Linked DNA regions of Macaca fascicularis. The protein of the gene in region 2 purifies or fractionates together with the protein of the main gene of each other region. This does not show direct contact. Links are inferred from orthologs where the notes say so. Each region holds a gene or a part of one and is shown on either strand. Other genes may lie near its edges. The genes, in order: CARD11, MAP3K7, PELI3, XIAP, FKBP5, USP18 and RIPK1.

What was found.
Region 1: the proteins of MAP3K7 (region 2) and CARD11 purify together in Homo sapiens (affinity purification with western blotting; 3 studies listed by BioGRID). This does not show direct contact. The link is inferred for Macaca fascicularis from reciprocal best matches to the Homo sapiens genes MAP3K7 and CARD11.
Region 3: the proteins of MAP3K7 (region 2) and PELI3 purify together in Homo sapiens (affinity purification with western blotting; 3 studies listed by BioGRID and IntAct, with this or other methods). This does not show direct contact. The link is inferred for Macaca fascicularis from reciprocal best matches to the Homo sapiens genes MAP3K7 and PELI3.
Region 4: the proteins of MAP3K7 (region 2) and XIAP purify together in Homo sapiens (affinity purification with western blotting; 3 studies listed by BioGRID). This does not show direct contact. The link is inferred for Macaca fascicularis from reciprocal best matches to the Homo sapiens genes MAP3K7 and XIAP.
Region 5: the proteins of MAP3K7 (region 2) and FKBP5 purify together in Homo sapiens (affinity purification with mass spectrometry; 4 studies listed by BioGRID and IntAct, with this or other methods). This does not show direct contact. The link is inferred for Macaca fascicularis from reciprocal best matches to the Homo sapiens genes MAP3K7 and FKBP5.
Region 6: the proteins of MAP3K7 (region 2) and USP18 purify together in Homo sapiens (affinity purification with western blotting; 4 studies listed by BioGRID, with this or other methods). This does not show direct contact. The link is inferred for Macaca fascicularis from reciprocal best matches to the Homo sapiens genes MAP3K7 and USP18.
Region 7: the proteins of MAP3K7 (region 2) and RIPK1 purify together in Homo sapiens (affinity purification with western blotting; 5 studies listed by BioGRID, with this or other methods). This does not show direct contact. The link is inferred for Macaca fascicularis from reciprocal best matches to the Homo sapiens genes MAP3K7 and RIPK1.

The regions. Positions count from the first base shown.
Region 1 is NC_088377.1:36,473,268-36,477,666, reverse strand, and holds part of CARD11 (caspase recruitment domain-containing protein 11), read left to right. Parts: intron 1-832; coding exon 833-985; intron 986-1,631; coding exon 1,632-1,757; intron 1,758-2,406; coding exon 2,407-2,604; intron 2,605-4,399. UniProt on the Homo sapiens protein: Adapter protein that plays a key role in adaptive immune response by transducing the activation of NF-kappa-B downstream of T-cell receptor (TCR) and B-cell receptor (BCR) engagement.
Region 2 is NC_088378.1:84,781,611-84,786,792, reverse strand, and holds the start of MAP3K7 (mitogen-activated protein kinase kinase kinase 7), read right to left. Parts: upstream 3,397-5,182; 5' UTR 3,189-3,396; coding exon 3,069-3,188; intron 1-3,068. UniProt on the Homo sapiens protein: Serine/threonine kinase which acts as an essential component of the MAP kinase signal transduction pathway. Plays an important role in the cascades of cellular responses evoked by changes in the environment.
Region 3 is NC_088388.1:7,921,588-7,925,986, forward strand, and holds part of PELI3 (E3 ubiquitin-protein ligase pellino homolog 3), read right to left. Parts: intron 2,360-4,399; coding exon 2,230-2,359; intron 1,242-2,229; coding exon 1,140-1,241; intron 370-1,139; coding exon 175-369; intron 1-174. UniProt on the Homo sapiens protein: E3 ubiquitin ligase catalyzing the covalent attachment of ubiquitin moieties onto substrate proteins. Involved in the TLR and IL-1 signaling pathways via interaction with the complex containing IRAK kinases and TRAF6.
Region 4 is NC_088395.1:130,130,250-130,134,648, forward strand, and holds part of XIAP (E3 ubiquitin-protein ligase XIAP), read left to right. Parts: intron 1-2,527; coding exon 2,528-2,728; intron 2,729-4,399.
Region 5 is NC_088378.1:136,068,381-136,072,779, reverse strand, and holds part of FKBP5 (peptidyl-prolyl cis-trans isomerase FKBP5), read right to left. Parts: intron 3,542-4,399; coding exon 3,427-3,541; intron 1-3,426. UniProt on the Homo sapiens protein: Immunophilin protein with PPIase and co-chaperone activities. Component of unligated steroid receptors heterocomplexes through interaction with heat-shock protein 90 (HSP90).
Region 6 is NC_088384.1:34,026,593-34,030,191, forward strand, and holds part of USP18 (ubl carboxyl-terminal hydrolase 18), read right to left. Parts: intron 2,700-3,599; coding exon 2,620-2,699; intron 2,330-2,619; coding exon 2,183-2,329; intron 80-2,182; coding exon 1-79. UniProt on the Homo sapiens protein: Interferon-induced ISG15-specific protease that plays a crucial role for maintaining a proper balance of ISG15-conjugated proteins in cells. Regulates protein ISGylation by efficiently cleaving ISG15 conjugates linked via isopeptide bonds.
Region 7 is NC_088378.1:169,978,259-169,982,657, reverse strand, and holds part of RIPK1 (receptor-interacting serine/threonine-protein kinase 1), read left to right. Parts: coding exon 1-41; intron 42-2,143; coding exon 2,144-2,293; intron 2,294-4,399. UniProt on the Homo sapiens protein: Serine-threonine kinase which is a key regulator of TNF-mediated apoptosis, necroptosis and inflammatory pathways.

The DNA.
Region 1 (4,399 bases), on a different chromosome or scaffold from region 2:
AGACATGCATGCCATCCTTGGGCACCTTTGTCTCCTCCTCTGTAAAGCGGTGACCACCCCACCACGCATTTGTCAGAGACAGGAGATCATACTTGGGAAAACATGTCCTTGTTTGAAGCACTCCAGGAAAATCACCATCCATGTGGAAATCAATGCCCTGGGCACTGTGGGAAGAGACAAGGACGTCTGGGAAACCTACACGCCCTTAAAGATTTCAGAAAACTCAACTCTAAGCTCTGTGCCACTTGTTCCAACCTCAAATGCCTCCCCGCACTTGTCAAAGTGGAATCACTTGTGGGCATGGAGGAGGAAGCTGCCGAGGAGTGACATCCCAAAACATATCTGCAGGGCAAGAAAAAAAACATGCATCCTCTGGCTCCCTCCAGAACAGTCCCCACCAGGAGCGGCTGCCTGGTATTTAAGGCTCTCTTTCGGAGCCGAGGGTGAACCCAGCTTCACCAGAACAGATTCCTCAGTATTTCAGGGACAGCATCTAAAAAGCCGATCCAGCTTCCCTTTGCTGTCACCTGTGAAGTGTTCTAGGTGCACCAGTTGCTTCTCTGCGCTCTAATAAGTGCCAGGGAGAACAAAAGGCCCAGGATACTCCCAAGCAGAAGCCAGTTTTCTGCTTCTTTCCAGGCAATAAACTTCTTAAATGATAAGCTTCTTAGAGACCTCAAGGGACATACATCTCTTCTTGCCTCTACCTTCCAGACACAAAACCTTCTGCTCTGTCCGTGTCTGTTGCTGGCTCTTCTGTCCCCCACCTTCCAGGACCACCTGGCTCCCCACCCCGACCCTGACCCTGTTAAACCTCCTCCCTCCCACCCAGGCTGGAAAGCGCAGCCTGCCAGACTCCGACAAGGCCATCCTGGACATCCTGGAACACGACCGCAAGGAGGCCCTGGAGGACCGGCAGGAGCTGGTCAACAGGATCTACAACCTGCAGGAGGAGGCCCGCCAGGCGGAGGAGCTGCGGGACAAGGTGGGAGCGGGGAGCGCCTGCCCAGCAGTGCCCTTGGCCCGCCCCCTTCACACCAGGGGGCAGTGGTGTGTGTCAGCAGGACCTCCCTGACCCCACACTCCTTTCCGGGGACTAGGTCAGACCCCTGGCATAAATCCCCTGTACTTCCCAGTATTCAGCCCCTGGCAGGAGCTGCAGTTTATCAACCTGATGAGGGCCTGGGGGCAGGAGCAATGTGGGCAGAGGAGACGGTGAGGGCTTGGGATTGGGGGAACCAACATACTTGCCAATGTGTGAGTCTCAGAGCCTCACCCACACCTTGCAGATTGCAGGATCCCAGATGTGTCGGCCACCCTTGGGCATTTATAAGCTATTGCACCAGCTGAGCACCAGTGTCCCCCTCCTGATTGAGACCACACTATCCTCCCATACATTACCTGGTCTGTAGTGGGTTCATGACAATGCCAAGTTCATTGGTCCCCTACCTTGAGCCCCAGTGGTCAGATAGCCAGTTCTCAGAAGGGCAGGCCATGTCCTGACCATGCCAGCTTAGGGAGGGACAGGCCAGCTCCAGCCAGCCGGCGGGAAGGCACGAGCGGAGAACAGCTTTCAACCCTGACCTATTGATTCCTTGATGCACGTATTGATTTCTCTGTGTTGTTCACAGTACCTGGAGGAGAAGGAGGACCTGGAGCTCAAGTGCTCGACCCTGGGGAAGGACTGTGAAATGTATAAGCACCGGATGAATACGGTCATGCTGCAGCTGGAGGAGGTGGAGCGGGAGCGGGACCAGGTACAGGCACCACCTGCAGCATGCAGGGCGGCAAGACTGCACAGCGGGGCCCACACCCCAGGCCACGGGGTCCTTCAGAGTGTTTTGTCCAGTGCAATGTCACTGACAATGCAGGGATCACTCCTGAATCCATCTTTCCCATTTCTGTTCCAACGATGAATTCTATCCCAAAAGGCTTTTGGAAGTCACAGGCATTTGGGTATCAGGGGGCTCTGAGCTGAGCTCCAGCAGCTCCCACAACCAAGCATGGTTCTTAAATGTTGTCTGTTCTCTCGGGTGAGAGGATGGGTTCAGATCCAGCCCTGTCATTCATAAGGTGTATGCCACCCTGACCTCAGTGCCCTCATCTGTAAAATGAGGAAAATTACGGTAGCACCACCTCATAGGGACAGGCCGTGGCCTTCCAGGGATACTGCATCAAATCTCTCAACACGGAGCCTGCCACTAGCAAGGGTCGAACCATCGGCTCTGTGATCGTGTTATTGAAGAAGGCAGTGACTGACACACCCAGGAGTCAGGCTGCAGATGAGAGTCACAGACGATGTGGCTGGCCCCTGGGTTGGGGATGATGCCTGTCCCTGGGCCCAGCTGGAGTTGACTGGGGTGCGGCCCCCAAAGCAGCCTTTGTCCTGCTTCTTCTCCCCGGCAGGCCTTCCACTCCCGAGACGAAGCCCAGACACAGTACTCGCAGTGCTTAATCGAAAAGGACAAGTACAGGAAGCAGATCCGTGAGCTGGAGGAGAAGAACGACGAGATGAGGATCGAGATGGTGCGGCGGGAGGCCTGCATCGTCAACCTGGAAAGCAAGCTCCGGCGCCTCTCCAAGGACAGCAACAACCTGGACCAGGTGGGCTGGGACAGGCAGGGCTCACGTCTGAAGCCAGGTGCCCCATGGCGCCCACTGAGGGCTGTGGCCAGTCGCCGCCTCCCCGTGGGGCCCCACATCTGAAGGCAGGTGCCCCCTGGCGCCCACTGAGGGCTGTGGCCAGTTGCCACCTCCCAGTGCAATGAATGGCTCCTTGTCCTTTGTTTAGTTTTGTTTTGTTTTTGAGACGGAGTCTTGCTCTGTTGCCCAGGCTGGAATGCAGTGGCACCATCACAGCTCACTGCAGCTTCAAACTCCTGGGCTCAAGCCATCCTCCCACTTCAGCCTCCCGGGTAACGGGACTAAAGGCACACACCACCATGCCTGACTAATTTTGTATTTTTTTATACAGACAAGGTCTCACTGTTTCCCAGGCTGGTCTTAAACTCCTATCCTCAAGCGATCCTCCCGCTTCAGCCTCCCAAAGTGCTAGACTTACAGCCATGAGCCACTGTGCCCGGTCGGCCCTTCATATTTTTGAAGCCAGAAGTTCCCTCCCACACCCAGCATAATCCACATCTTTTAGTCTTGTGTTTGTGTCTGTTTAGTGATGAGTAGAAGCCACTCATTTTGAAGTTAGAAGATGCAGGGTAGGGCTGGGCACAGTGGTTCATGCCTCTAATCTCAGCATTTTGGGAGGCTGAGGTGGGAGGATCGCTTTAGGACAGGAGTTCAAGACCAGTCTGGGCAACAGAGTGAAAATTTTTTTTAATTTAAAAAATTAAAATTAAAAACATAAATAAGAAGATGCAGGGGGCTGGACGCGATGGCTCATGCCTGTAATCCCAGCACTTTGGGAGGCTGAGGCGGGTGGATCATGAGGTCAGGAGTTCGAGACCAGCCTGACCAACATAGTGAAACCCCGTCTTTACTAAAAATACAAAAAAATTAGCTAGATATGGTGGTGTGTGCCTGTACTCCCAGCTCCTCGGGAGGCTGAGGCAGGAGAATTGCTTGACCCCAGAAGGCAGAGGTTGCAGTGAGCCGAGATTTTGCCACTGCACTCCAGCCTGGTGACAGAGCAAACCTTCGTCTCAAAAAACAAAAAGAAGAAGATGCAGGGTCAAGCCTGACCCAGCCACTTCCTGGCTGAGCAGCCTCCCCGCTTAGGAGCCTCAGTGCCCTCTCAGTTGACCACAGCCAGCTGCTGGCCTCCTACTAGGGTTCCCCCGCACACCTGAACGGTCACTGGGTTTAAGACACCCTGCGGTCATTAGGGTTCCTAGTGCCTGTGAGTAAACCCTCATTTATCGACAATGTGAATTGCAGAGTGCATTTCCCAGCAGTGCCCCAGGCACTGAGAAGTGAAGGAATGCCTCCTCCAGGGTAGATGTTATCACTTTTATAGCTGTGGGTTTACTGAGCGCAGTCACGTGCAGGTGCCACGCAACGTGCCCCCTGCGCGTTACCTCATTTACCCCACAGAACTGTCCTGCATGGAAAGCACATGCTCAGTGTCCTCATTTACAAAAGAAGGGACCCTGACTGGGTGCGGTGGCTGAGGCCTGTAATCCCAGCACTTTGGGAGGACCCGCATTCCCGGCTGCAGTTACAGCGTGAATACAGGCCTGGCACGTAGCCCATCGTGCTGCCAGCAGGCCGTGTCCGGCACTTCCACCGTCTGCAGAGTGGGAGTCAAGGACCAGCAGGCGGGTAATGAGATGCGCCAAGGTGGGCTGTGCGTACCCAGGAGTGTTCCGCTGCTATTCTGAGTCCCTGAAGGATTTTGCACAGGGAGTGGGACAAGACGCTTTGAGTTTGGAGGCAGCGCAGCATG
Region 2 (5,182 bases):
AAATCTCATATTCAATTCCCAGCTTTACCATTTACTTAGGCATGCAGCTTCTGGCAAGTCAAACTCTATGACTGCTTGTCAAGATCTGTAAAATGGTATATCATTTGCCAGGTCAACCCAGGATTAGTTGGTCACCAACTAAATTCTACAGGAGACCATGATCACTGTACGTAAAGAACTTCTAAGGTTACTGTAGAAAACAGTTAAATACTGGAAAAAATGAATGTGTTTTCATTTTAGAACTGGAAAAGACCTTAAATGATCTTGTTTAATCCCTCAGTTTACATAAGTAACCACAGGCCCAGAAAAACGTGGTGACTTCCTCAAAGTTACAAAAATATATTATGGCAGAATCAGTACAGCATCTACATTTTCTAATTTTCAGTCCAGAACACTTTCCACTATACCACCCTGTGTAACACTTCTTGCAACCCATCCCCTCTTTTATTCCAATATTCTTTACAGCCAGATCTAGATGGTAAACACTAAATGACTTTTAAAAAGTACCTAGGCAGATTTCTGAGGCTGAGACTTTACCTAATTTGATTGAACTGAACTGAATCTAAGATGTGACAAACTAATACTATTGAGTTACAATATTAGAAATGCAAGATCAGCTGATGTCTTAGAAATATGTATCTACTAAATGATTGCATATTTGGCCTGTGGTTGAATTATTTTTTTTTACAGTTTCTAATTATATTGATATAATGCAATTCAATTATATTGAGAAATACATAATATGATTTTCTTAATTTAGAAGGTAATATTCTCATACAATATAAAATATTGAAAGCAACATAAAGTAGTTTTTGTTTCTGGTCATCTTCCTCTGTTATCTTACAACTGAACTGGAAGTGTAATCTAAGTTGACAAATAGCTAATAAGTGTCCTTGGTTCACTCTGGATTGTGTAACACTGGTTTAATGTATGCAAATGAAGAACATGATGGAAATTATGTAATGCTTTCAATATCAGAAAGATCCAAATACAATCTTTAATGCAAAAATGAACTGAGTATTAAAAATGAAGGGGAATAAAACAAACAAAAAACCCAAATGACTGCCTAATATTAAAAACAAATTTTCGTCTAAAAACAAAATCCTACTCCCCAGAAATGTCCTAAACACACGCACACCCACATACACACAAAGATTGAAACATTATCTAAATTGAGAGAAGGGTCTTGGAAACACAGAAACCTAACCAGAAGTGAAATAGCTTTAGGGGAAGAACATCAAAATGATAACTACCTCCTTAGTAATTTGTTTTTCCATGAATCAAGAATGTAAAAAGCTTTAGAAAGTAGCATACAAAAACTAAGGTTGTAAGAACCAAATGAAGTAAGTTTGTGAAAGCATTTGGTAGACCATAAAGCACAAGTTATTATTATATAACAATTTGTAGTCTACAAGCATAGCAATTCACCACAGAGGAGACGTAAACGCTTATTTAAAAACTGCAATTCTTGTATACTGACTCATGGAATTTTTATTCTTAAAAAAGAATATTAGCCATGAAAGTTGGATCAACTATCCACTTCTGGAAAAGGAATTTATCATAGCCTCAATGTAAAAAAAAAAAACTTAAAAACATTCCCCCCTCTTTTCAAAATACAGGTCTTCTTTTAGCCATGTGACCTTAAAGCAGGTCACATTTCCTCTCTGGAACTAGGTTTCCTAATATGTGTCAGGCCCTGTGGTAGGTGTTTTGCATATAATGTCTACTAAGATCTGTTATGCAGATAAGATGAAACAGAATTTATTAGCCCTTTCTAAAACTAAAATTCAAAGGGGTTAGGAAACTTGCCCCAAATCACACAGCTAATAATGGCATATCTGATACATTGAACTTTCCTCTAATTCCAAAGACCTTGCTTTTCCCACCATATTATCTTGTAAAATGAGGATGTTCTCAATGATCTCTAAAGTTACTTTATGTGATAAAAAGTATATAATTCAGTAATCCATTACTCTTCCAAAACATGCACAGGAAAAAAAAATTTATTTGTTGAACGTTATCTCACTACTTCGAACTTGCTGACACTTAAAAATAATTTTAGAATTTTAAAGTAGACATAACTTGTTGACAATCTATAATATTTCACTAGGTTTTTCACGGGATATATAACGCAAGTGCTTAATAAATTAAAAAAACGGCAAATAAATGGTAAGATATAGTATTTTCAGCCAAAGTTTTTAACAAGTTCTAAAGTCTCTTTAAAAAATATATATGCAGCTTTTACTTTTCTAAATTTTATAGTCATTAGAACCCAATTTACCTCTCTGTTAATCTGAAAAGCAACACTTTAAAGTCACTTTGAAATAGCTTGTTCTAAAATGAATTACTGCAGAATAAAGAAAGGATATGGGTTTTCTGATAGCGATTTCCAGTCTAATGTTATATTCTGATTGTCACCGATCATTCGTTATCTCTTCAGAATATGCTACTTGAAACATCTTTTGATCGTAGACCAGTCTGTGTTACTTATGGTGAAATTCACCTACGTTAGCCCAACTGAAAGCCGAGCGTTTAAACATTACGAGTATTGCTGTGCGGTATCGGAGAAACTGAGAACCATTCGATGCTAAGGGAAACACTTTATTAGACTTGATGATCTACTAATTTAACAAGCATTTATTGAGCATCCCCTACATGCCAGATACTGAAGTAGAAGTCGAACATAATACAATTATTGGCCATTAAGAACTTCACGTCCAGCGGACTGAAACTCCAGAACGGCTACGATCTTCGCTGAAACTACTACTTACAGATACGAGAACTGGAGGACCACACTGTCTCACCAGTTCATTCTCCTGTTTATCACCGGAATATCAAATCCAAAAGCAAGAGTACTCAAGACAGGAAAAAAGGCAGCTACTCCCAAGCAGTTGAGCTCAGAGAGTAACCCCCACTCCCACGTCAGTGAAGGCTGTTGGGTCTCCCGGGTGGACCCCACAGGGTCCCGCGAATTAGAGGGGCCGGGGAGGCACCTTCAGAGCCGGGACCAGACAGAGGCAGGGGCGGGCCGGGCCGGTACCGGCGTCTCCATGCAGGGCCTCGCTCACCTCTTCCACCTCGATTTCCTTGTAGTCGATCTCTTCAAAGTTGAGGACTTGAGAAGGGGCTTCGATCATCTCACCGGCCGAAGACGAGGAGGAGGAGGAGGCGGCAGAGGCTGTAGACATGATCCCTCGCGGCGCCCGGTGGGGCCGGGAGCGGTGCCGCCCGGACAATCCGGGTGAGATCCACGCCCACCCGCCTCCGGACCGACCCTCAGGCTGGAGCCGCGCAGTCCTGCTACCCGGCGATCCGTGGCGGGGATAGCGGCAGCGGCCACAGCCGGGTCCGGATCTGGCTCCGCTGCGTTTTCCGCCGCTGGGCCCCGCCCACTACACTTCCGGTTCCGGGCTGAAATCGGAAACAGGAGGTGGGCCGTAAACTCCGGGGGAGGGAAGGGGAGAATTTTGTGACTTGGAAAGAAAAGGAGGGACAGGTTGGGGGTGGGGTGGAGTAAACTAAGAAGCAAGCTTGGACCTCTAGAACAAATTTCGCGAGACCTTTATTACAGGGCCTCAGCAACCGGATGATACCGCGAGAGAGGACGCCTGACGTAATTAAAGTGCGCGAACGGAAGTGGCGCGGAACATGACGGAAAATCAGCACGGTTGGTCCCTTAAGGACCAGCGGGAAAGATAAAAGCTGGCGTTTAGTCTCTGCTGTGTGAAGTATGTCTTGGCCTCTCTTTCTCTCCTTTGAGCTGCCAGCAGACGGGCGAGGTGGTGTTGAACTGTGTTTTTTGTGACGAAGCTTGCTTTTAAGTTTCATCCCTCAACTAAGTTGACCTGTTTCTTTAAGACGGCTTGCAAAATGTGTTTTCCTCAATGTGGGATATGGAAGGAAGCAGTTGCTCCTGTTACTTTGAGCTAGTCCCTGACGCTATGAGAAATTCTAAAAGAGCGAATCAGATCATGCAACATGAATAACTATGGAGGCTGAGTGATCAAAAACAGAAGTTAATATTTTGGTGTTACAAACTTTACACAGATTAGGTGGATAAGATATTTACACTTTGGTGTGTTCATCTCAAGTTATGGATTACGAGTGCGGGGCACTAGTGCTTTAGATTGGTAAATGAATCATCAACAGTCTCCTTGAAAATCAAATATTTTCATCACCATTTTCAGGACGTGAGAAAATACACTCAGAGTTTAAAGCAATTATGGTCCTTACAAACTAGATCAATCTGTCCCCAAGATGGTCAGTATTGCTCATGTTGTACTACCAGCACAAGTTTTAGTTTTAAACTAACTGTTGAACTTTATATAGTCCGTTTGACATAAAGCCTAACTGTGGAAAATTGGAGTTAGAGATGAAGATTTAAAGACCAAGGATGGATTCCTGCGAATGTCAAATTCTAAGTTTCAGTAAGAGACTGAAAGGAGGAAGTGAGGAAAATAGTAATTGGAACATCACCAGAGGTGAGCTTTCCAATGAAGAAGTAGCCAACCAAGTATATGCTGTACAGAATTATGTTAAACACATTTGGGATTGCAACTAGATCATTGGATTTGACCATCAAGAAGTTACAAACTTCTTGGAAACGTTCTGTCACTTTTTATTCACAGTTCTAGTGACTCGCAATGACAGTTTGATGAGTGGATAAAAAAATGAAAGAAGCAATAATTTCTTTCCACTGTACACTCTTTGTTTGCATGATCTTACCCAAGGTCTCTGTTTCTCATACCATTTTTATAATGATGACTTCTAATCTCCGAATACTCAAGATTTTTCCTGAATTCTGGACCTATTGGACATCTCTATTTAGATAAACAACTAAACTTCAAGATACCACAGCAAATTCAAAAGTTGTCACCCACCACAAATATATTTCTATGTGATTTTCCTATATCACGTAAGGATGCCATCACCCAGTTGGTTGTCTGAGAAGTCAGGGCATGTGAAATGATGTGTGGTGCACTGATACCCAATATAAGCTGATTTAATCAGTGGCACAGTCATTTTCACCTGTCATTCCCCTTGCATTTCCAAACAAGGATGGTCACTTCTTACCTTGTGCTATAACTGCAGGTCTATATCTGATTTCCCTTTAACACCTTGATCTTGCTGCCAGGTGGGAACTCAATAAATACTTACATATTCTGTACAAATGAATAGCTTT
Region 3 (4,399 bases), on a different chromosome or scaffold from region 2:
TTAAGTGTCTCTCTGGGCCTCACTTTGCTCATCAGTTAGCTGGGGTTGCTAAGCCCTGCCAGGACCATCATTTGGATTACTGTGGGCTGGTTCATCACATCAAGATGCTGCACCTCCCAAGCCTACCCCTTGCCTCACAGATGAAGAGTTGGTCCCTTCCTGGGGCTCACTCACTCCAAGGAAGATGTTGCTAGAGGCGTCGAAGCCAGCTGCATAGATGCGGGCAGTATAGGGCGGCCGGCGGTCACAGAGGATGCGGCAGGCGTAGCGAGAGATGGTGCTCTGGGCGGAAGGGCCCTCGGCAGCCCCTCCTCCAGGGGATGTGTCTGTTACCACGAAGTCAATCATGTTCTCTGTGGAGCGGCCAATCTGTGAGGACAGGGAAAGCAAGCAGCGACTGCATGTACATAGGGGACTCTCATAGGCCTCCCCACCCACAGTTCCGGCAGCTGCTCTGTATGCAAGGTCACCAAAAAAGGAGGCTGCCAGGCCCTAAGAAGGGGGCAGCACCAACTCCTTAGACCTTCTAGGCTCCCAGGTGGGGTCTCCAAGTCCAAGAAGCCATTGCCTGGAGCAGCTTCTCCTTCTCTGTTGCCCCCACAGCACTAGGGATCACCCCATTCAATAAATACAAGTTGATTTGCTGATAGAATTATAAGAGGGTGGTCAAATGTTAGCAGCACATAGCAACTTCTGAGTAACTATTTGCCATATGCCAGCCACCATGCTAAACATTTTATGTGCAATGCCTAAGTTAATCTTCCTGTGGGGTGGGTACTATTATGGGCCTCATTTTACAGATGAGTAAACCAAGGCCCACAGAACTTAAGTGATACTTCCCCAAAGTCACCCAGTGGTAAGTGATGGAGCCAAAATCTGAACACAGGCATTAGGCCTCTCACACCTGAACCCCTGAGCTGTGTGAACTCCCACCGTCTAGGAGTCTTGAGTTTGATCCTTGATACAGCCACTGGCTTGCTGTGTGACTCTGCAGTCAACAGCCCACACTGGGACATCCTGCTTCCTCGTCTGGAGGGAAGCAACTTTCCCATGGCCTCCCATCCTGTAGCCTCACCTGAAATGCTTGCAGAGCCTAGAGGCCTGGTGGCCAGGAGGTGTGTGGAGAGGCCTGAGCATACCTGGAACATGTCTGTGTCGCTATCATGTGTATACTCCACTATGACCGAGTGGCTCCGGGACAGCGTGTACGAGATGCTGTGCTGACCACGGTTACTCAGTGCCTGGGGGGAGAAAAAAGTCACTTGCCAGGGTGTGCAGCTATGATAAGTGTAAGCCTGGAGCCAGCAGCTGGAGCTCAAGGCCCAGCAGCCACTCTCCAGAAAGGGGGCAGCTCCATCCTTCGCAGAGGGTGGACAGTGCAGCGGGTGTGTCACATGATTTAAGCCCTACAATCACCTTAAGAATGGGGTTATCAGGCTGGGCGCAGTGGCTCACGCCTGTAATGCCAGCACTTTGGGAGGCCGAGGTGGGCAGATCACTTGAGGTCAGGAGTTCAAGACCAGCCTAGCCAACATAGCAAAACCCCGTCTCTACTAAAAATACAAAAAAAAAAAAAATTAGCTGGGCATGGTGGTGCGCACCTGTAGTCCCAGCTACTTGGGAGGCTGAGGCAGGAGAATGGTGTGAACCCAGGAGGTGGAGATTGCAGTGAGCTGAGATTGCACCACTGCACTCCAGCCTGGGTGACAACGAGATTCCGTCTCAAAAAAAAAAAAAAAAGAATGGGGTTATCGTTCCATTTTAGAGTTGAAGGAACTGCAGGTCACAGAGAAACTGCCCTAAAGACACACAGCTGGAAATATCAGAGGCTGAATTCTAACCCAAATCCTCTAAAGCCAAAGGTTTTTTCCTTTACCATTGCAGTATGACTGTCACCTCCCACTCTCTGAACCTTGGCTGCCTCTAAGATGGCGCAGCTCATTTCCACCCATTTCCATTGGATGGAAATAAGCAGCACCATTTTAGAGGCAGCCAAGGTTCAGAAAGGTCTGGTAGTTAAGGAAACATTGTGCAAACTGTAAAGAACTGTGCACACTGCAAAGGATTTTTCATCACCATTCTCAGGTGGCCCAATACGCAGTGAGTGATGACACAAAGTGGGCTCCCCTGTTAAGGTGGGGGGCTGTGGGCAGGTAGGACCTGGAAGGCCAAAGACCTGGGCCTTGGGCAGGGAGGGCAGGACCTCAGGTCTACAGGTCAGTTGCTTGCCTTGGAGACGAGCGGCGTGGAGATGTGGTGCATGACATCTGGCTTCACTCCGTTGGCATGCGGACGGCGGCTCAGTGCCAGGCGGCTTCGCCGGCGGCCCTTGTCCCCACTTGCCAGACACCCATTGTAGCTGTAGATGTTGGAGGTCAAGAAGAAAGGGTTGTAAGAGGAGAAAGAGAAAGAGGGAAAGTGAACCCCTGATGAAACTTGGGGGAAACTGCCAACTTCTGGGCAGATCCTACCTTAATAAACAAGCTCTAGAAGCACCTGAAACTAGAAGACCCTACAATAACAAATCGGTACCTTGGGGAGTGGGCAGGGGGTGTCAGAACAGTTTCAAAAGCACTTTCATTCAGTTAACCAAGTATTTCCTGGACACTTGAGCCATGCCTGGATGGGTGCTGTGCACTGGGGCAGTAGAGGTGACGCACCACGGGTCAGCTGTGGGCCCTCAGTGGAGGGGTTCCTCAGCTTCTCCAGGAACCTAGGTGCCACCTGCCACACCCAGGCACAAGTCAAGGATGCCATAAGCCTAGAGGAAGAAAAGGGAATTCTGGCCCTAGCATGAGGTTTCTGGGAGAGGGAACACCTCTACTGGGTTTTGAAGAACTAGAAAGGGTTCACCTGTAGCAAATTGTCACTTATCACACCACTACTCAAAACCAAAACGAAAGGAAAAACTGACCCACAATGCCACTACCTCTATATATCCACACATGTCCAATTTCCACCTGCCTTTCCATCTCTTGTCCGGAAGGGATGGCTGTGAGAGGCACAGAGGAGGTGAGTCATAGCTCTCATCGCTGCCATGGGCTGCTGCCTCCGTGTTCCTGGCCTTCATGTTATCAATCACCTAATGGAATCTGTGCAGTGGCCTGCCAGGCAAGTGGCTTTCTGCCCATCTTACAAATGAGAGAAATCAAGGCTCAGGGAGGTAAAGTGACTTGCCTCTGGCTAGTAGGTGAAAATGTCCAGATTCGAGCCCAGTCTCTCTGACTCCAGAAGCACCTCTAGATGGAGGCTCACCCTAAGCAAAGGGCCCAAGGCTGGCAGGATCTGATGAGATCAGGGAATGGTGACTTTGGTGGTGAAGTATGTGGGGGAGATGATGCTGGTGGGAGGGCTCTGAACTCCAGGCTGAGGACATTATTTTGTAACCAGTGGGGTGCCAGGAAGGTTTGGGAACAGGAAGTGACAGGACAAAGAGCTGCCAAATACAGACAAGGCCACTTGAATCAGAATCTTCTAGTGAGTTTGTTAAAATCCAGATGAGGCCAGGCGCAGTGGCTCACAACTGTAATCCCAGCACTTTGGGAGACCAAGGTGGGCAGATCACTTGAGGTCAGGAGTTCAAGACCAGCCTGGCCAATATAGCGAAACCCCGTCTTTACCAAAAATACAAAAACTAGCCAGGCATGGTGGTGGGTGCCTGTAATCCCAGCTACTCAGGAAGCTGAGGCAGGAAAATCACTTGAACCCAGGAGGTGGAGGTTGCAGCGAGCTAAGATCGTGACACTGAACTCCAGCCTGGGCGACAGAGCAAGACCCTGTCTCCCCTGCCGCAAAAAGAAAAAAAAAAAAATCCAGATTCCTTGGTCCCACCCATTGTGACTGTGATTCTGTAGGCTTGGAGAGGGCCTGTCAATGTGTATTTTCAGTGCCCTCCAGCCAGCTCTGATGTGCAGCCAATGTGGACTCTGCTGTGCAAAGGGGCTGCCAGGAGGGCCCATACCCGTGGGTCTGCAGCCTCCCACATTAGTGGCCTTGCCTTGGGCTGGAAAGCCAGTCCTGCCTTTGGGATACAAAGCAGCTGCTTTTTCAAGGCAAGCTCTCCCAAGGGAGACATCACTTTTGCCCTTGTGAGCTCTTCCCACACATCAGGGGCGGGGGTGGGCAGGCCCCGAGGTGGGGCAGTTCAGGACACAGACTTGGGACACAGATGGGCCTGGCTTAAATCTGGCTCTTCCACTTATCACATGACCTCTGTAAAATGGAGCTAATTTTTTAGGACCTACCCCGCAGGTTCATTTTGAGAACTAAATGAGACAAAGCATTTAAAAGTGCTTAGCACAGAGTTTGGCATATTTATAGGAAGCCCTTGATAAGTGCTTTTTTTTATTTTCTATTACTGCTTTTTTTTTTTTTTTTTTGGTAAAAAAAGCACATGTCA
Region 4 (4,399 bases), on a different chromosome or scaffold from region 2:
GGTTTCACTGTGTTAGGATGGTCTCGATCTCCTGACCTTGTGAACCGCCCGCCTCAGCCTCCCAAAGTGCTGGGATTACAAGTGTGAGCCACCATGCCTGGCCCAGAGTTGTGTTTTTTTTTGTTTGTTTGTTTGTTTTGAGACGGAGTCTTTGGTCTGTCACCCAGGCTGGAGTGCAGTGGCGCGATCTTGGCTCACTGCAAGCTCCGCCTCCTGGGCTCACGCCATTCTCCTGCCTCAGCCTCCCGAGTAGCTGGGACTACAGGCGCCCGCTACCACGCCCAGCTAATTTTTTGTATTTTTAGTAGAGACGGGGTTTCACCGTGTTAGCCAGGATGGTCTCGATCTCCTGACCTTGTGATCCGCCCGTCTCGGCCTCCCAAAGTGCTGGGATTACAGGCGTGAGCCACCGCGCCCAGCAAGAGTTTTTTTTTTTTTTTTATCAAAACACACATCTTAAGTTACTTTCCTACCGTAAAAATATATTTTGTTATTTACTATATATGTTCTTTATACTCGAATCTCTATATCTCTTCCTTTCCAGCCTCCTCTATTTATTTACTTATTTATTTATTTAGATAGCATCTCGCTCTGTCGCCAAGGCTGGAGTGCCATGGTGCAGTCTTGGCTCACTGCAGCCTTCGCCTCCCAGGCTCACAGTATCTTCCAGTCTTAGCCTGCAGAGTAGCTGGGACCACAGGCGTGTGCTGCCATACCCAGCTGATTTTTATATTTTTTACAGAGACAGGGTTTTGAACTCCTAGGCTCAAGCTATCTGCCTATCTTAGCCTCCTGAAATGCTGGGACTACAGATGTGAGCCACCATGCCCAGCCTTATGTTTTATTTTTATTTTTTAATAGAGACAGGGTCACACTTTGTTGACCAGGGTGGTTTCAAACAGCAGACCTCAAAGAATCCCCCTGTCTTGGCCTCCCCAAAGTGCTGGGATTACAGGTATGAGCCACTGCACCCGGCCTCCTCTCTTTCAAAAAAACATTTATTGAGCTATAATATACATATAGTAGCCAGGTGTGGTGGCTCACGCCTGTAATTCCAGCACTTTGGGAGGTCGAGGAGGGTAGATCACAAGGTCAGGAATTTGAGACCAGCTTGGCCAATATAGTGAAACCCCGTCTCTACTAAAAATACAAAAAGCCGGGTGTGGTGGTACATGTCTGTAATCCCAGCTACTCGAGAGGCTGAGGCAGGAGAATTGCTTGAACCTGGGAGGCAGAGGTTGCAGTGAACCGAGATCACACCATTACACTCTGGCCTGAGTGACAGAGTGAGACTCTGTCTCAAAAAAAAAAAAAAATATATAGATATATATATGTATGTATGTATATATACACACACACACATACAGTAAAGTGCTTAAAGTACCCTAATCATAAGTTTTCTACTTGATGAATTTTAACGTATGTATGTTAAAATATATATTAAATAAAATATGTGTTAAATATATATTAAAATGTGTCTGTTAAAATATATATATTTATCTGTGTAACTATCCCCCAGATTAAGACATAGAACATTTCCACAACCCTAGAAAGCTCTTTCATGCTCCTTCCCCATCAGTACGCACCCCCAAGTTACATTCTGGCTTCTATTACCATAGATTCATTTTGTTTATTACCATAGATTAGTTTTGAAGTTCTTATAAATGGACTCATGCAGTAGGTACTCTTGTGTCATAATGATGAATTATGATTCTGGTTTGCTCGTTATATCTATGAGATTCATCCATATTGTCTGTGGCAATAGTTTTTTTTCTTGCTGTGTAGCTTATGAATATACCACACAATCTATTCACCTGATGATGGACATTTGAGTTGTTTCCAGTTTGGGGCTATTATAAATAACACTGCTATGAATATTCCTGTGCATATCTTTGGCAGAGATATACACTCATTTTTAATACCCAAGAGTGGAATTGATGAGTCAGAGGGTATAAGTGTCCTCTCTTAGCACTTCCCTACACATGCTGTGTTCCTACTTTGAGTATCATAAAAACAGGTTTCCATTGACTTTCTTGCTTTATCCAGTCCTACCCGCTCTACTACAGAAATGAAGTTTGAGAGCTAGGAAATTGACATGTTCAAGGTTATAGACTGGGATTTCCCTAATTTACCATCATTTTCCCCAAATAATTGCTAGTGACTCAGTAACAACATCCACTCTTTAAGTACCTTAGGTTAATTGTTAAAGAGTACAGCTAGATTTAAAAAAGTTCAGATTTTTGAAGCACTTAACCTTTTTCTTGCCTGTTTTACCTTGCATCGTTTCAAACACTACAAAATACATACTCATTGCATTTACAATTAATTGTAAGATTCTGAAAGTGATTTTTCAGTGCCTGAATACTTCAAAAAATCTTCCCAAAGCAGCTTTGCTTTGCTGGTTTGTTTTTGTTCTTTTGCTTGCTGCTGAATTTTTTCATTTTAACTATATTTTGCTATTGAGTTGTGATAATGAAAATAATTGTTTAAATTCTATGTTCTTTTTCCTCACCAATTTTTATTTCAGATGATACCATCTTCCAAAATCCTATGGTACAAGAAGCTATACGAATGGGGTTCAGTTTCAAGGACATTAAGAAAATAATGGAGGAAAAAATTCAGATATCTGGGAGCAACTATAAATCACTTGAGGTTCTGGTTGCAGATCTAGTGAATGCTCAGAAAGACAGTACGCAAGATGAGTCAAGTCAGACTTCATTACAGAAAGGTATGCATTGCTGTTTTTAAAAAGCAAGAAAGGGCCGGATGTGGTGGCTCACACCTGTAATCCCAGCACTTTGGGAGGCTGGGGATATGGACATTTTTTAAACATAACCTTAATGCTTTGTGTTAGTCTGCTCAAGCTGCTATAATAAAATTCCATTGACTAGGTGTCTTAAACAACAGACTTATTTCTGACAGTTTCGGAGGCTCCAAAATCAAGGTGCTGGCCGATTTCGTTATTGATGAGGGCCCTCTTCCTGCCTTGCAGATGGCTGCCTTCTCACTGTGTCCTCACATGGCATGGGTTGGGGGTGGATGGGACAAGATGGAGCAAGTACTCTGGTCTCTTTTCCTCTACTTTTAGGGACACTAATCCCATCATGGGGGTCTCATCTTCATGACCTCATCCAAACTTAATTAGTTCCCAAAGGCCTCATTTCCAAATATCATTACATTAATCATGGAAAAAAGATTAAAAATATGAATTCTACCAGCCTGGGCAACATAATGAAACTGTCTCTACAAAAAATACAAAAATTAGCCGGGCATGGTGGTGTGTGCCAGTAGTCCCAGCTACCTGGGAAGCTGAGCGGGGAAGATCACCTGAGCCAGGGAGATCAAGGCTGCAGTGAGCTATGATCATGCCACTGCACTTCAGCCTGGGCAGCTGAGCGAGATCTTGTCTCAAAATATATATATATCTCCTTTAAGGATGATGGACACTATAGTGCTTGCCAACAACATCGAAGGTTAAAGAAGAGGTTTCAAACTGAGTACACTTTTGGGTACTATACCTGTAATAGTTCTCTAAGCTCTTGACTATCCTCCCTCCAAAAAGATGAGAATTCTCCTACTGCTAATAAACTTAAACATTTACTTATTTTTGACACATTTAAAATCCTTGTGATCTTTAAGATATTTCAAGTGCTTTTGAAACATTATTCAGATAATTACTTAAGTTATGAAACAGTATGAACATTAATGATATTTAAAATTATATTCATTGATGTAAGAATCAATGGAAAGCTTCCAGTTTTTCCCTTATAGATGCATTTATTTAAAACTTACACAGGCTCCACTTATCTTGGTGGTGGTAAAATAAACCCTTTACTTGGTCATCTTTCTTTCTTTATTTTTTTTAAGACGGAGTCTCACTCTGTCACCCAGGCTGGAGTGCAGTGGCACGATCTCAGCTCACTGCAACCTCTGCCTCCCCGGCTCAAGCAATTCTCCTGCCTCACCCTTCCGAGTAGCTGGAATTACAGGCATGCGCCACCACGCCCGGCTAATTTTTTGTATCTTTATTAGAGGCAGGGTTTCTCCCAGTTGGCCAGACTAGAATTTTTCTACTATAACAGAAATACAAGCAATTGTGTCATTTTTTTCCTGCATCTTAAACACGCGCTTAATTAAGTTTGGCCATAAGTTATTAGCTTTCAAACCTTAATGTGTCTGCAGCAGAAAGATTTAGCAGGTTGTAATAGGAAGAGATCAAGGGACTGTGCATTAGGGAGAGTGTCTTTTCTCTAACAGGAGTCAGTGGGCGCTCGTATTATCACTGAGACTACAAACTAGGATGGTGTGGGAAGGAGAGCCTAAGGGTTGGAATTCATTTGAACTCTCCTCAGTCTCACTAAATTGAGAGGCAAGTAATTGATACAGGCTCTCTACTCAT
Region 5 (4,399 bases), about 51 Mb from region 2:
TCCCAGAAACCCAAACTGAGGGATTTTCTACAAAATGGTCAGTTGTATTCAAAATAGTAGAGTAGGCCGGGTGCGGTGGCTCATGCCTGTAATCCCAGCACTTTGGGAGGCTGAGGCAGGTGGATCACCCGAGGTCAAGAGTTCAAGACCAGCCTGAACAACATGGTGAAACCATGTCTCTAAAAAAAATTAAAAATTAGTCAGGCATGGTGGCGTGCGCCTATAGTTCCAGCTACTTGGGAGGCTGAGACAGGAGAATTGCTTGAACCCAGGAGGTGGAGGTTGCAGTGAGCTGAGATTACGTCACTGCACTCCAGCCTAGGTGAGAGAGCAAGACTCCATCTAAAAAAAAAAAAAAAAAAAAAAAAGTAAATACAATGCTGGATCTTGAGTTTGATCTTAGACCAGAAAACGACAGTAGTGTAGTAACTGGTGAAATTCAAATAAGATCTGGAAAACAGTTACTGGTACTACATCAATGTTAACTTCCTGATTTTGATAAATGTACTGTGATTAGGTAAGATGTTAACATTTAGAGGAAGCTGTGTGAGGCATATAAGGGAACACTGTATACTAGTTGCGCAACTTTTCTGTAATTCTAAAATTATTTCAAAACAAAAAGTTAAAAAAAATTGACTCCCATCACAAGGATTACCAAAAGCAAGATTTGATTTAATTTAGTCTGCTCTAAAGTTGTCTCCACAGTAGTAATGTTGTGGTATTGTCCATAATTGGGAAAAGTTTTCCCTCTTAGTTGACAAAACCCTCCAGTTAAAAAATATAAATTACTGAATCTAGGGAGTTCCTATATCCATAGGAGTAAACCTCTACCTTTGTATATACATTTGAAATTTTTCATAATAAAAATTTAAAATACACATTATAGACAAGCTTAAGTGCTTACTAATATAGTGAAGATGATTTTCTATCACTCCTACAACTTTTGTAAATGTTTAGAATTCTATGATGGAGTTTTAGGGCTAGTAGGACCTTAAAAATTAAGCGGTTCCACCTTGCCTCACTGCATAGGAAGGATGCTAATGCCCAGAGGTGAGGTCTAGTTGGAGCCAGCCTGAGACCAGGGCTGAGGCTGGAACCCTATCTCCCAACTCCTAGTCTGGAGCTACTTCCCTGATATTCTACATTTAAAGCTCTTCATGTATTCTAAAACTTATCTTAAATGACAATTTGGGATAAGTAATATTTGTAACTGCTTCCCAAAACAACAGAATTTTAACTGACTTTCCAAACTCGTAGAAGTGAAATATGGGCCGAAAATAGTATATACTTTAAATATAAGAAACTCAGCTATTCTTGTTTTCTGTTTAAATGAACTCTATTTTACTTTTTTTTTTTTTTAAAGTCAAGGTCTCACTATGGTGCCTAGGCTAGAGTGCACTGGCTATTCACCGGTGTAATCATAGCATGCTATAGCCTCGAACTCCTGGCCTCTAGTGATCCTCCCATCTCAGCCTCCCAAGTAGCTGGGACAACAGGTGTACACCATTACACCTAGCTTTTTGAAATCTTTATTTTAAACAGAACTTTTATAATAGTTCATGTTCCCATCCTTGTTGAATGATTTGATTTTTGTTCTTAATGGAAGTATTTCTCTGTTTTCTCACAACTCTCTTTTGAAGGATTTCAGCTCACTAATGACACTTCTCAAGCATTTATCTATGAAGAAAGCCTTTACTGAACACCAAATGTGTGTCAGGCACTGCAGGTAATGCTGAAAACAAAAGGATGAAGAAAGATTCTGGTCCTCAAGCACTCATAGTATATTGGGATAAATGGGCAAATACTGATTACAATGTAAAGTGACAAGTAGTATACACAGTGGTATATATAATTTGCTCTGGGAGGGAAGAAGAGTTAGCTATCTCAGTCCTCAGAGATGCCCCTTCTCCCACTTAGCAAATGAAGAAACGGAAAAGCTTCAGGTTACTCAATAAACACCAAAGCAGGACTTGAACCTAGGTCTACTGATAGGGAATAGAATGAACATTATTATCCAATATTGATCTAAATGATGAACTATTTTTTATCTTGATGACAGCTGATGAGATGGATTTGAGTCCTAAAGAGGATTATAATCTACTGCTCTGTTTAGTAACTCTGTAACCCTGGGCAATTTATTTAAGATCTCTGAATTAACTTTTCTTATCTGGGGACAGGAAATTTTACCTCTTAAGGCTGTGAGAAATAAACGAACAAATATATCAGGCAACAAATATAGTTGCTGGCACACCAAAGAGTCCATAGATTGAGAATTTCTTGTGGATGGAATTACTTTGTATTCATTTTTGAGTTTGTAGAGGCTGGTAGCATGCCTGGCACACATGTTGAATTAATGTTTACTAAATAAAATTATTAAATAAATGTTGAATCTGAAACTATTCTTTTTTTTTTTTTTTGAGACAGAGTCTCGCTGTCTCCCAGGCTGGAGTGCAGTGGCGCCATCTCGGCTCACTGCAAGCTCTGCCTCCCAGGTTCACGCCATTCTCCTGCCTCAGCCTCCCGGGTAGCTGGGACTATAGGCACCCTCCACCATGCCTGGTTAATATTTTGTACTTTTAGTAGAGACGGCTTTCCCAGTGTTAGGCAGGCTAGTCTTGACCTCCTGACCTCGTGATCCGCCCGCCTTGGCCTCCCAAAGTGCTGGGATTACAGGCGCGAGCCACCACGCCCGGACTTTTTTTTTTTTTTTTTTTCCCACAGAATCTTGCTGTTGTCCAGGCCGGAGCCAATGGCACAATCACGGCTCTCTGCTGTAGCGTTGATCTCCAGAGCTCAAGTGATTCTTCCACCTCAGCCTCCCAAGTAGCTGGGACTACAGGGACGTGTCACCACACTTGACTAATTCTCTTGATGCTTTTTAGTAGAGATGGGGCCTCACTATGTTGCCCTGGCTGCTGCCGCATTCCTAAGCTCAAGAGATCCTCCTGCCTTAGCCTCCCAAAGTGCTGGAATTACAGGCGTGAGCCACTGTGCCCGGCTAAGACTATCTTTGAGATATATTCAATACTTTTTTTTTTTTCTGAGGCAGAGTCTCGCTCTGTCACCCAGGCTGGAGTGCAGTAGCACCATCTTGGCTCACTGCAACCCCCACCTCCCCGGTTCAAGTGATTCTTGTGCATCAGTCTCCCAAGGAGCTGGGATTACAGGCATGCACCACCACGTCTGGCTAGTTTTTTGTATTTTTAGTAGAGATGGGGTTTCGCCATGCTGGCCAGGCTGGTCTCAAACTCCTGAGCTCAGGCAATCCGCCCGCCTCCACCTCCCAAAGTGCTGGGATTAAAGGCGTGAGTCACCACGCCCAGCCGATATGTTCATTTCCATAAACATATTTTTTTTAAGTCTCCATTTCGTCCACATAAATGGTCCAACTTTTAAGGACTAGTTCCCTCTTACTTTAATACTTACTTTCTACTGTTGCTCCTTCGTTTGGATTTGAATATCCCTCTCCTTTCCGTTTGGTTCTCCGGATAATGCCTCCATCTTCAAATAAGTCCTCTCCTTTGAAATCAAGGAGCTCAATCTAGAAAGAAAAAAGGAATTCAGATGAGAAAAGACCAAATAAAGCCAATTTAACATATGTGAAGGCAAGGGCAACCAATTATTTCATTTTACAAAATAAAGCTGTTTCAAAATGTATACATTCATTTATGCATCTTAATTATTGGAAAAGTAGCAAAAAAAAAAACAAAAAACCCACTATACTTTTCCATACTTGGAAAGAATTTCACATAATGATAATGTCTAGGACTATATCCTAAGGGACTGCGGTGCAAAGACAGGAAATACTAGGAACACTACCCTGTGGGCAAAAACCCAGAGCTTTACAAGGTGCTGGTGTAGAACAGTTTGTCTGAGGCCACAACTTTCCCACCCTGGATTTATGGAGTTCCCTTCTCAAAATGTAAACATAAATTTCATGAATGTGGCCTGTGACTGATTAAAGGTATATTTTACCTAGCTGGGGTAGTTCTTAAAAATCAAGTTTTGCCAAATATATGTAATTTCAACACAGGTTGAATAATGTTTTATCACCATCAAACACTTCTAGAGAAGTGAGATCTGTGACATATAAACCTTTATAATATGAAAATACCCTGCAACTTGACATAGGCATATTTCAACATTTATTGCCAACATTTCCATCCTGCATTCTGGTCAATTTTGAGTATGTCACACTCACACCATGGACCAGATTCTTTATTTCTAAGTGTAGTGTCTTTTGTGTATTTGGATATGACCTTTTTGTGGTGGAAACACGTTTCTCAAAAAGCACTGGCACGTGCACCCTTGGGTTTGTGGGAAACAATCCAAGAAGCCATGCTCCAAAATAAGTAAGTTGGATGTGATTCTCTATAGCTCCTTTTCCCACTGCCTGTTG
Region 6 (3,599 bases), on a different chromosome or scaffold from region 2:
TCTTCCCACAGTTCTTACAGAAGCACTTGCTTTTGCTTGATAACTCCCTGGGCTGGAAGAAGCAGTGCAGGGCGTCCTCCTGTCCCACCCAAGAGAACAGGGAAAAAGCAGTGTTGGTATTTCCCACCTAGAGTACTCTATTCTGTTCTCACACTGCTGTGAGACAACAGCTAAGACTGGGTAATTTATAAGAAAAGAAGTTTAATTGGCTCATGGTTCCACAGGCTGACCAGAAGCATGGCAGCATCTGCTTCTGGGGAGGCCACGGAAGCTCCCAGTCATGGCGGAAGGCCAAGCAGGAGCAGGCGTCTTACATGGGAGAAGTAGGTAGAGAGCGAGTGGGGAGCTGGAGTGCAGTGGTGAGATCTCAACTCACTGCAACCTCCACCTCCTGGGTTTAAGCGATTCTCCTGCCTCAGCCTCCCAAGTAGCTGGGACTACAGGCTGCACCACCATGCCCAGCTAATTTTTGTATTTTTAGTAGAGACAGGGTTTTATCATGTTGGCCAGGCTGGTCTCAAACTCCTGACCTCAGGTGATCGACCCACCTCAGCCTCCCAAAGTGCTGGGATTACAGGCACCACCCACCCTGGCTCCACACCTTTTTTTTTTTTTTTTTTTTTTTTTTTTTTGAGACGGAGTCTGGCTCTGTCGCCCAGGCTGGAGCGCAGCGGCTGGATCTCAGCTCACTGCAAGCTCCGCCTCCCAGGTTCACGCCATTCTCCTGCCTCAGCCTCCCAAGTAGCTGGGACTACAGGCGCCCGCCACCTCGCCTGGCTAGTTTTTTGTATTTTTTAGTAGAGACGGGGTTTCATCGTGTTAGCCAGGATGGTCTCGATCTCCTGACCTCGTGATCCACCCGTCTCGGCCTCCCAAAGTGCTGGGATTACAGGCTTGAGCCACCAGGCCCGGCCATGGCGCCACACTTTTAAACAACCAGATCTCATGAGAACTCACTCACTGTCACAAAGACAGTACCATGGGGGATAGTGCCAAACCATTCAGGAGAAAACCTCCCCCATGGTCCAATCTCCTTCCACCAGACTTTACCTCCAACACTGGGGATTACAACTGAACAGGAGATTTTTGGGCAGGGACACAGACCCAAACTGTATCAGGTACAGCCTCCCCACACTTTGCAGCTGAGGGTTTCAGCTTTTCTTCTGGTTCTCCTCATATCCCCCTTAATGCCTGGCCTGGTGTGGTCCATTTGGCAGGATCTCAAACGGCACCTGCTGACTGGAGGAACAAAACAGGATGGGGCTCCTACTAAGGGAGCAGTATGAGGGAGGTGGAGGTAGGAGGGAAAAGCATTTTTGCCAAAACAAAGGAGAAACTGGCCAGAGCCATGAAAATGAAATAAGTGACTTTTCAGAAGCCAGAGATGAGGCAAGGGGGAGTTGGTCACACTGTGTTGTGTGGTTCGATGGTTTCCCCAAAACCCATGTTGAAACTGAATCCCCAATGTGGCTGTATGGAAAGGTGGGGCCTTTGAGAGATAATTGGGGAGGGCAAGGTGGCTCATGCCTGTAATCCCAGGGAGGCTGAAGCAGGTGGATCGCTTGAAGTCAGGAGTTTCAGACCAGCCTGGCCAACATGGTGAAACTCCAACTCTACTAAGGATACAGAAATTAGCTGGGCATGGTGGCGGGCCCCTGTAATCCCAGCTACTTGGGAGGCTGAGGCAGGAGAATCGCTTGAACAGCAGAGGCGGAGGTTGCAGTGAGCTGAGATTGTGCCACTGCACTTCAGCCTGGGTGACAGAGGAAGACTCTGTCTCCAAAAAAAAAGCGGGGGTTATTGTGTCATGAGGGGCACAGCCTTCATGAATGAATTAATCCACTCATGGATTAAAGGGTTAATGGGTTATCCTGGGAGTGGGACTGGTGGCTTCATATGAATAGGAAGAGAGACTCCAGCTGGCGGCACATTAGCACGCTCAGCCCCCTCGCCATGTGATGCCCTGCACTGCACTCGCCATGTGATGCCCTGCACTGCCTCACCTCAGGACTCTGAGAGTCCCCACCAGCAGGCGGGCCCTCACTAGGTGCAGCCCCTCAACCAAGACTTCCCAGCCTCCAGAACTGTAAGAAATAAATTACCTAGTCTCAGATATTGAGTTATCACAACAGAAATGGACTAACACATATGGGGGCAGCAAATACCAAGAGAATCCCCTTACCAGTGTCTTCAGGGGCTTTGAGTTCACATCAAAAAGAGACAGTGGAAGGGTAAGCATGCTGCTGTTTCTGCTACTCTCCATGGCACAGTCGAGGCAAATCAAGGAGTCCTTCACCCGGATCATATACAGGGCCTGCAGCCTCTCCACCTGCAAGAGGGAGAGCAGAGAGGTGAGATGGGAACAGCACCATAAGCCAGGTCAGGCCAATTGCAAGAAGGTGGAGCCAAGAGACAGAAGCTCTAGAAATGGTAGCCACTAATGCTCTTTGGCCTACTCACAAAGGTGCAAAATATTACCAGTAACAATATTATGAAACTGTGATAAGTGTTTTATGTGGATTAACTCTCTTATTCCTCTACACACTACAGGAACAACAGCTGAATGAGTTAAATGAGCAGCATCTTAAGCTTCCGAGTGCTCTGGTTCTAGGTTCTTACCAAGTGCACATCAGTGATCTGGTCCTTGATCAGGTTCCAGAGTTTGAGGTAGAGTTGGGCGGCATCATGCTGGACAAACACTAGCCACAGAGAAAAGGAACAGCCAATTAGTGAGGTCTTCAGAGTCACTTCTCATGCCCTAGTATCTAGACATACATGAATACTCACCATTTTGTCTCTTCCTAGCCCTCCACCCCACTGCAAGGCTAAGTTGGCACTATATAAGAGGTGATCAATAAACGAACAGTAAGTTTGGTATTGATTTTTGAGAACGCCTCTTGAAACTTAAGCTCCAGTGCCAGGTGTAGTGACTCATGCCTATAATCTTAACACTTCAGGATGCCAAGGCAGGAGGATCGCTTGAACTCAGGAGTTTGAGACCAGCCTGGGCAACAAAGCAAGACTCTGTCTCTATAAAAAATTTTAAAAATTAGTTGAGCATAGTGGTGCACACCTGTAGTCAGAGCTACTTGGGAGGCTGAAGCAGGAGGATCACTTGAGCCCAGGATGTTGAGGCTACAGTGAGATGTGATGTCACCACTGCACTCAGCCTGGGGAATGAGATGTCCACAGGGACTCTGAAAAGCACTGATACATTCCTGAGGATCTAGAAGGCCAGGCGCATGCCCAAGTAAGACCCGAAAGGGCTCCAATCCCTCCCCTCTGGCTGACCACAAGGCCACGTGCAAGAAAACAATGAAGGCAAATACAGAATCATAAACTGCCCAGTAACAATAAAACAGCAACAACAACAAACCCTGGTGTGGGCATCTCTGATGTCCAGTGTTGCCACCTTACATCATCTAAAATGTTCATTTTCCAACAAAAGAGACAAGACACACAATGAAACGGAAAAGTATGGCCACATACAGGAAGACAGCAATCAGTAGAACCTTTCACTGAGAAGCCCTAGATGTTGGCTTTACTAAACAAAGACTTTAGCTGTTATAATATGTTCAAAGAATTAAAGAAAACCATGT
Region 7 (4,399 bases), about 85 Mb from region 2:
CGTACTTTGGGCGATATTTGCAAATAAGGAGCCATATGAAAGTAAGGCATTAGAGGAGTGGGGTTTGATATGAACCAACACTGCCATATGAAGTAATGGGCTTCAGTGAAATCAGTTAAGGTTTATAATTGTTTATTCTTTTAATGTCAGTCTTGCTTGCTAAACTGTGAGTTCCGTGAGGGCAAGGACCATATCTGATTTATCCTCTGCTGTCTCCTCAGCATCTACACTCACTGTGCCTGGAACTAATAGGTGCCCAGTAAATTTTTGTTGAATGAATGAGTAATCCCATTTAGGAATCAGTGATCATAGGATGAATAGGACTCTTGATAACGTGTCATTAGCTTGAGAGATGCTGTAAAATTCCAGGGTTCTTCCTAGACAGGAAAGTTGATTGTTTCTGCTTGTGAGGACTTAGTCTTTCACACTACAAGGCATACACTTCATACTTTCACTCATTCACTTACTCCTTCATTCAAGAATTCTTTCTTTTCAGTCCCTACTGTGGGCACTTTAGTCGGCACCGGGAATATAAAGATGAGTAAGTCGTGGCTTGTGTAGGAGAACAGAGACACTCTTCAGTTTGTTAAGTGCATAAACTAATGGATGTTTCCCTACATACTCATCTTGGGTGATCATCAGCTCCCGTGGTTTGATGATCATCTCTTTGCAAATGCTTCTTAAATCTGTGTCTCTGGCTCTGGCCTGGATATCCACTTGTCTTATGGTCAGATCCATTGCAGGCACCAAAGGAACCTCCAAAGCAGCATCCCCCAAACACACCCATCTTGTCGACACTGTCCTGCAGCTCGCCCTGCTTCACTCCTCTTCATATGCTCAGGAAGTGGCATGGCCATCCTTTTACCAAGTTGCCCAATAAGAAACCTTAGAGTCATCCCAGACTTGCCCTTGCCTCTCTCTCCCACATTCTATCAGATCTCAAAACCTATGAATTCAAGATATATATATGACTCAAGATATATCTGCAACCCATCTGCCTCTCTCTGTCCCCACTGGCCTCTGCTTAGTTCAAACCCTCACTGTTTCTGCGGCAGGCTCCTTCCACTGTCCACCATTCATGTGGCAGCCAAAATGGTCGTCCTAAAAGGCACATGTGACCCTTTCCCTCACATACTGGAAATCCTTCCCAGATGCTCCATGGTGTTCAGGATGAAGTTCGAATTCCTTAGTGTGGAATATTCTGGCCTTTGCTTCTCTACTGGCCTCATCCCTGACCCTCCCTTCTTTGTCAGTTAGACTGAGTGAGGAATTTCTGGGATGTGTCATGATCTCTGTGACTTCTAGTCTGTTGATATCCTGCTTCTCTTGCCTGGAGTTCTCCTCCTTAAGTCCCCCTTTCCCATTCTTTACCTGCTAATTTTTCTGGACTCAACAAAGCCTTCCTGGATCTTTTTAGTCAGGGTTGTGCTACTGGAGCCCCTTGTACATTCTTTTTTTTTTTTTTTTTTTTCCTTCTAAGACGGAATCTCACTCTGTCACCAGGCTGGATTGCAGTGGCGCAGTCTCAGCTCACTGCAATCTCCACCTCCCAGGTTCAAGCAATTCTCTTGCCGCAGCCTCCCGAGTAGCTGGGACTACAGGTGTGCACCACCACGCCCAGCTAATTTTTGTATTTTTAGTAGAGATGGGGTTTCACCATGTTGGCCAGGATGGTCTTGATCTCTTGACCTCGTGATCTGCCTGTCTCAACCTCCCAAAGTGCTGGGATTACAGGCATGAGCCACCGTGCCCAGCCCCATCCTTTTTGAATAGCAATGATCACTCTTGTGTTTTAAGTCACTCTCATTAACTTGAGCTCCTAAAGGCAAGGACTGTCCCATATTTGCCTTTGCACATGGAGCGTGCCACTGGCCTTGCCCACATAATCTCTGTTCCATCAGCAGGTAGCTTTGTTGAGAATTTTGTTTTATCTGCAGACATTAAGCTATTGTTTGGTCATCTCTGTAGTGGAATATGTCAGACAAAGAGCTGACATATTCCACTCTATAGAATGAGGCAGCCGTACCACAGGCATACCAGAGGCTGAAAAAAATGAGCAGTATTGTTCAAGTTCTGTCACCTTCCTGCCTGAGAGAGGAGCAAGACCTGAAAGTCTCAACCTCAGCTCCTCTTTGCTTTACAGATGCTATCTGTGAGCAGCAGCTGATAATGTGCATAAAATCGGGGAACAGGCCAGATGTGGACGACATCATTGAGTACTGCCCAAGAGAAATTATCAGCCTCATGAAGCTGTGCTGGGAAGCGAATCCAGAAGCTCGGCCGACATTTCCTGGTAAGAGCATCTTTTCTGACTGTGTAGGATGCATCCTGTGTGGTGATTTTCCCAGTAAGATGTTGTTAGGAACTTGGTTTGAATCCTCAGAAAACTGAGTTCAACTTTACTTGTGGTTTTAAACTGATTTTCTAGATTTCAAACATGTTGTTCAGTGCAAAGAAGCCATCTCTCAAAAGCATGAAGGCACATAAGGCCTTCTTGTTTCCTTTTTTTGTAACTAACTTTTTAACTTGGGTTTAAATATACATAACTTTCAAATTAACATTGTAACTGTTTTCAAGTGCACTGTTCAGGGGCAGTAAGTACAGTCCCACAGTACGTTCACTCTCCATCATCTCTCTCCCTGCCCCGGCAACCCCCATCCTACTTTCTGTCTCTACGAATTTAACTGCACTGGGTACCGTATATAAGTGGAACCATACAATGTTTGTCCTTTTGTGTCTGGCTGATTCCACCTGGCATGATGTCCTCGAGGTTCATCTGTGTTGTAGCAGATGTCAGAATTTCTTTCCTTTTCAAGGCTGAATAATATTCCATTGTATGAATAGACTGCATTTCGTTTCTCCATTCATCCGTGTATGGGCTTTCACCAGCCTTCTTTGCTTCTTCACCTCTTTTATTTCCATCCCCTCCCTTGTTTAGCTGGCATCTTTAGAAAGTATTTTGCCATTTAGACTGGCCCTGTCATACAGGGATGGGGAAAGGTGCCTGGATGTTTGCTGAGCAGTATTCTATGGTGTGGATGTACCACAGTTTAACTATTCACTCCTTGAAAGACTTGTTTCCAGTTCTTAACTGTTGGGACTAAAGCAGCTGTAAATATTCATGTACATGTTTTTGTGTGAATATAAGTCTTCATTTCTCTGGAATACCAAGGAGTGCAGTAGCTAGGTTGTATGGTAGTTTCATGTACAGTTTATTTAAAAAATTCCCAAACATTTTCCCAGAGGGGCTGTGCCATTTTATATTCGGTGTCTGCGTGATGCAGGTTCTTGCATCCTCACCAGCATTGGGTACCCAGGCTACTCACACTTCTGCTCAGCCAACTACAAATTTATTTGAGTATTCCCACAAGCCCCACTTCAGGTCTGGGAATTCATTAGAAAGACTCACAGAACTCAAGAAAACATTTTACTTATGTCTCCCCTTTTACTGTACTGGGTACAATTCAGAAACAGCCAAATGGAAGAGGTGTACAAGGTGAGGTATGGGAGGAGGGTGTACAGAGCTTCCACAGCCTTTCAGGACACACCACGTTCTGGTGCTTCTATGTGTTCAGCAACCTGAAGCTCTCCACACCTTCCCATTTAAGGTGATTTATGGAAGTTCCATTACATACGCATGATTGATTAAATCATGGTCATTGGTGCTTGAGCTTAATCTCCAGTCCCTCTCTCCTCACTGGAAGTCAAAGGTGGAGCTCAAAGTCCCAACCTTCTAATTATAGCTTGGTCTTTCTGGTTGCTAGCCCCCATTCTGAAGCTGCTTAGTTTTCTGACCCCACCCAAAAGACACTCTTAGAAGACTCCAAGGATTTTAGGTGCTACCTGCCATGAACAAAACCAGACCTTTCTGATTCTCCAAGGTGTCTTATTTTATTGTTTCCTTTCTGTTTAGGGAACTTTCCTTAATCATTCTTTTAGGATATGTCTGAACTCTGTCATTCCAAATTTTTTTTCCTTATAGGTAAGGTGTTATTTTTCTCTTGCTGCTTTCAAGACTTTGCCTTTATTTTTCAGAGATTTAGTTATTTGTCTTGGTGTGGATTCCTTTGGGTTTATTCTGTTTAGGTTTTGCTCAGCTTCTTGAATCTGTAGGTTTATGCCTCTTACCATATCTGGGAAGCTTTTGGCCATTATTTCTGTAAGTACTTTTTAGCCCCCACTCTCTTTCTCTTTTCCTTCTGGAACTGTGACAACAAAAACTGTATCTTTGGTTATAGTCCCACAGGTCCCTGAGGCTTTCTATTTTTTTTTTTTTTCCCAGTTAATTTCCTCTCTCTTGTTCAGACTGGATAATTTTATCATTCTGTCTTCCAGTTCACTGATTTTTCTGTTTCTCCTTGATTCCACAGTTGAACCATCTACTGAGCCTTTTTTTTTT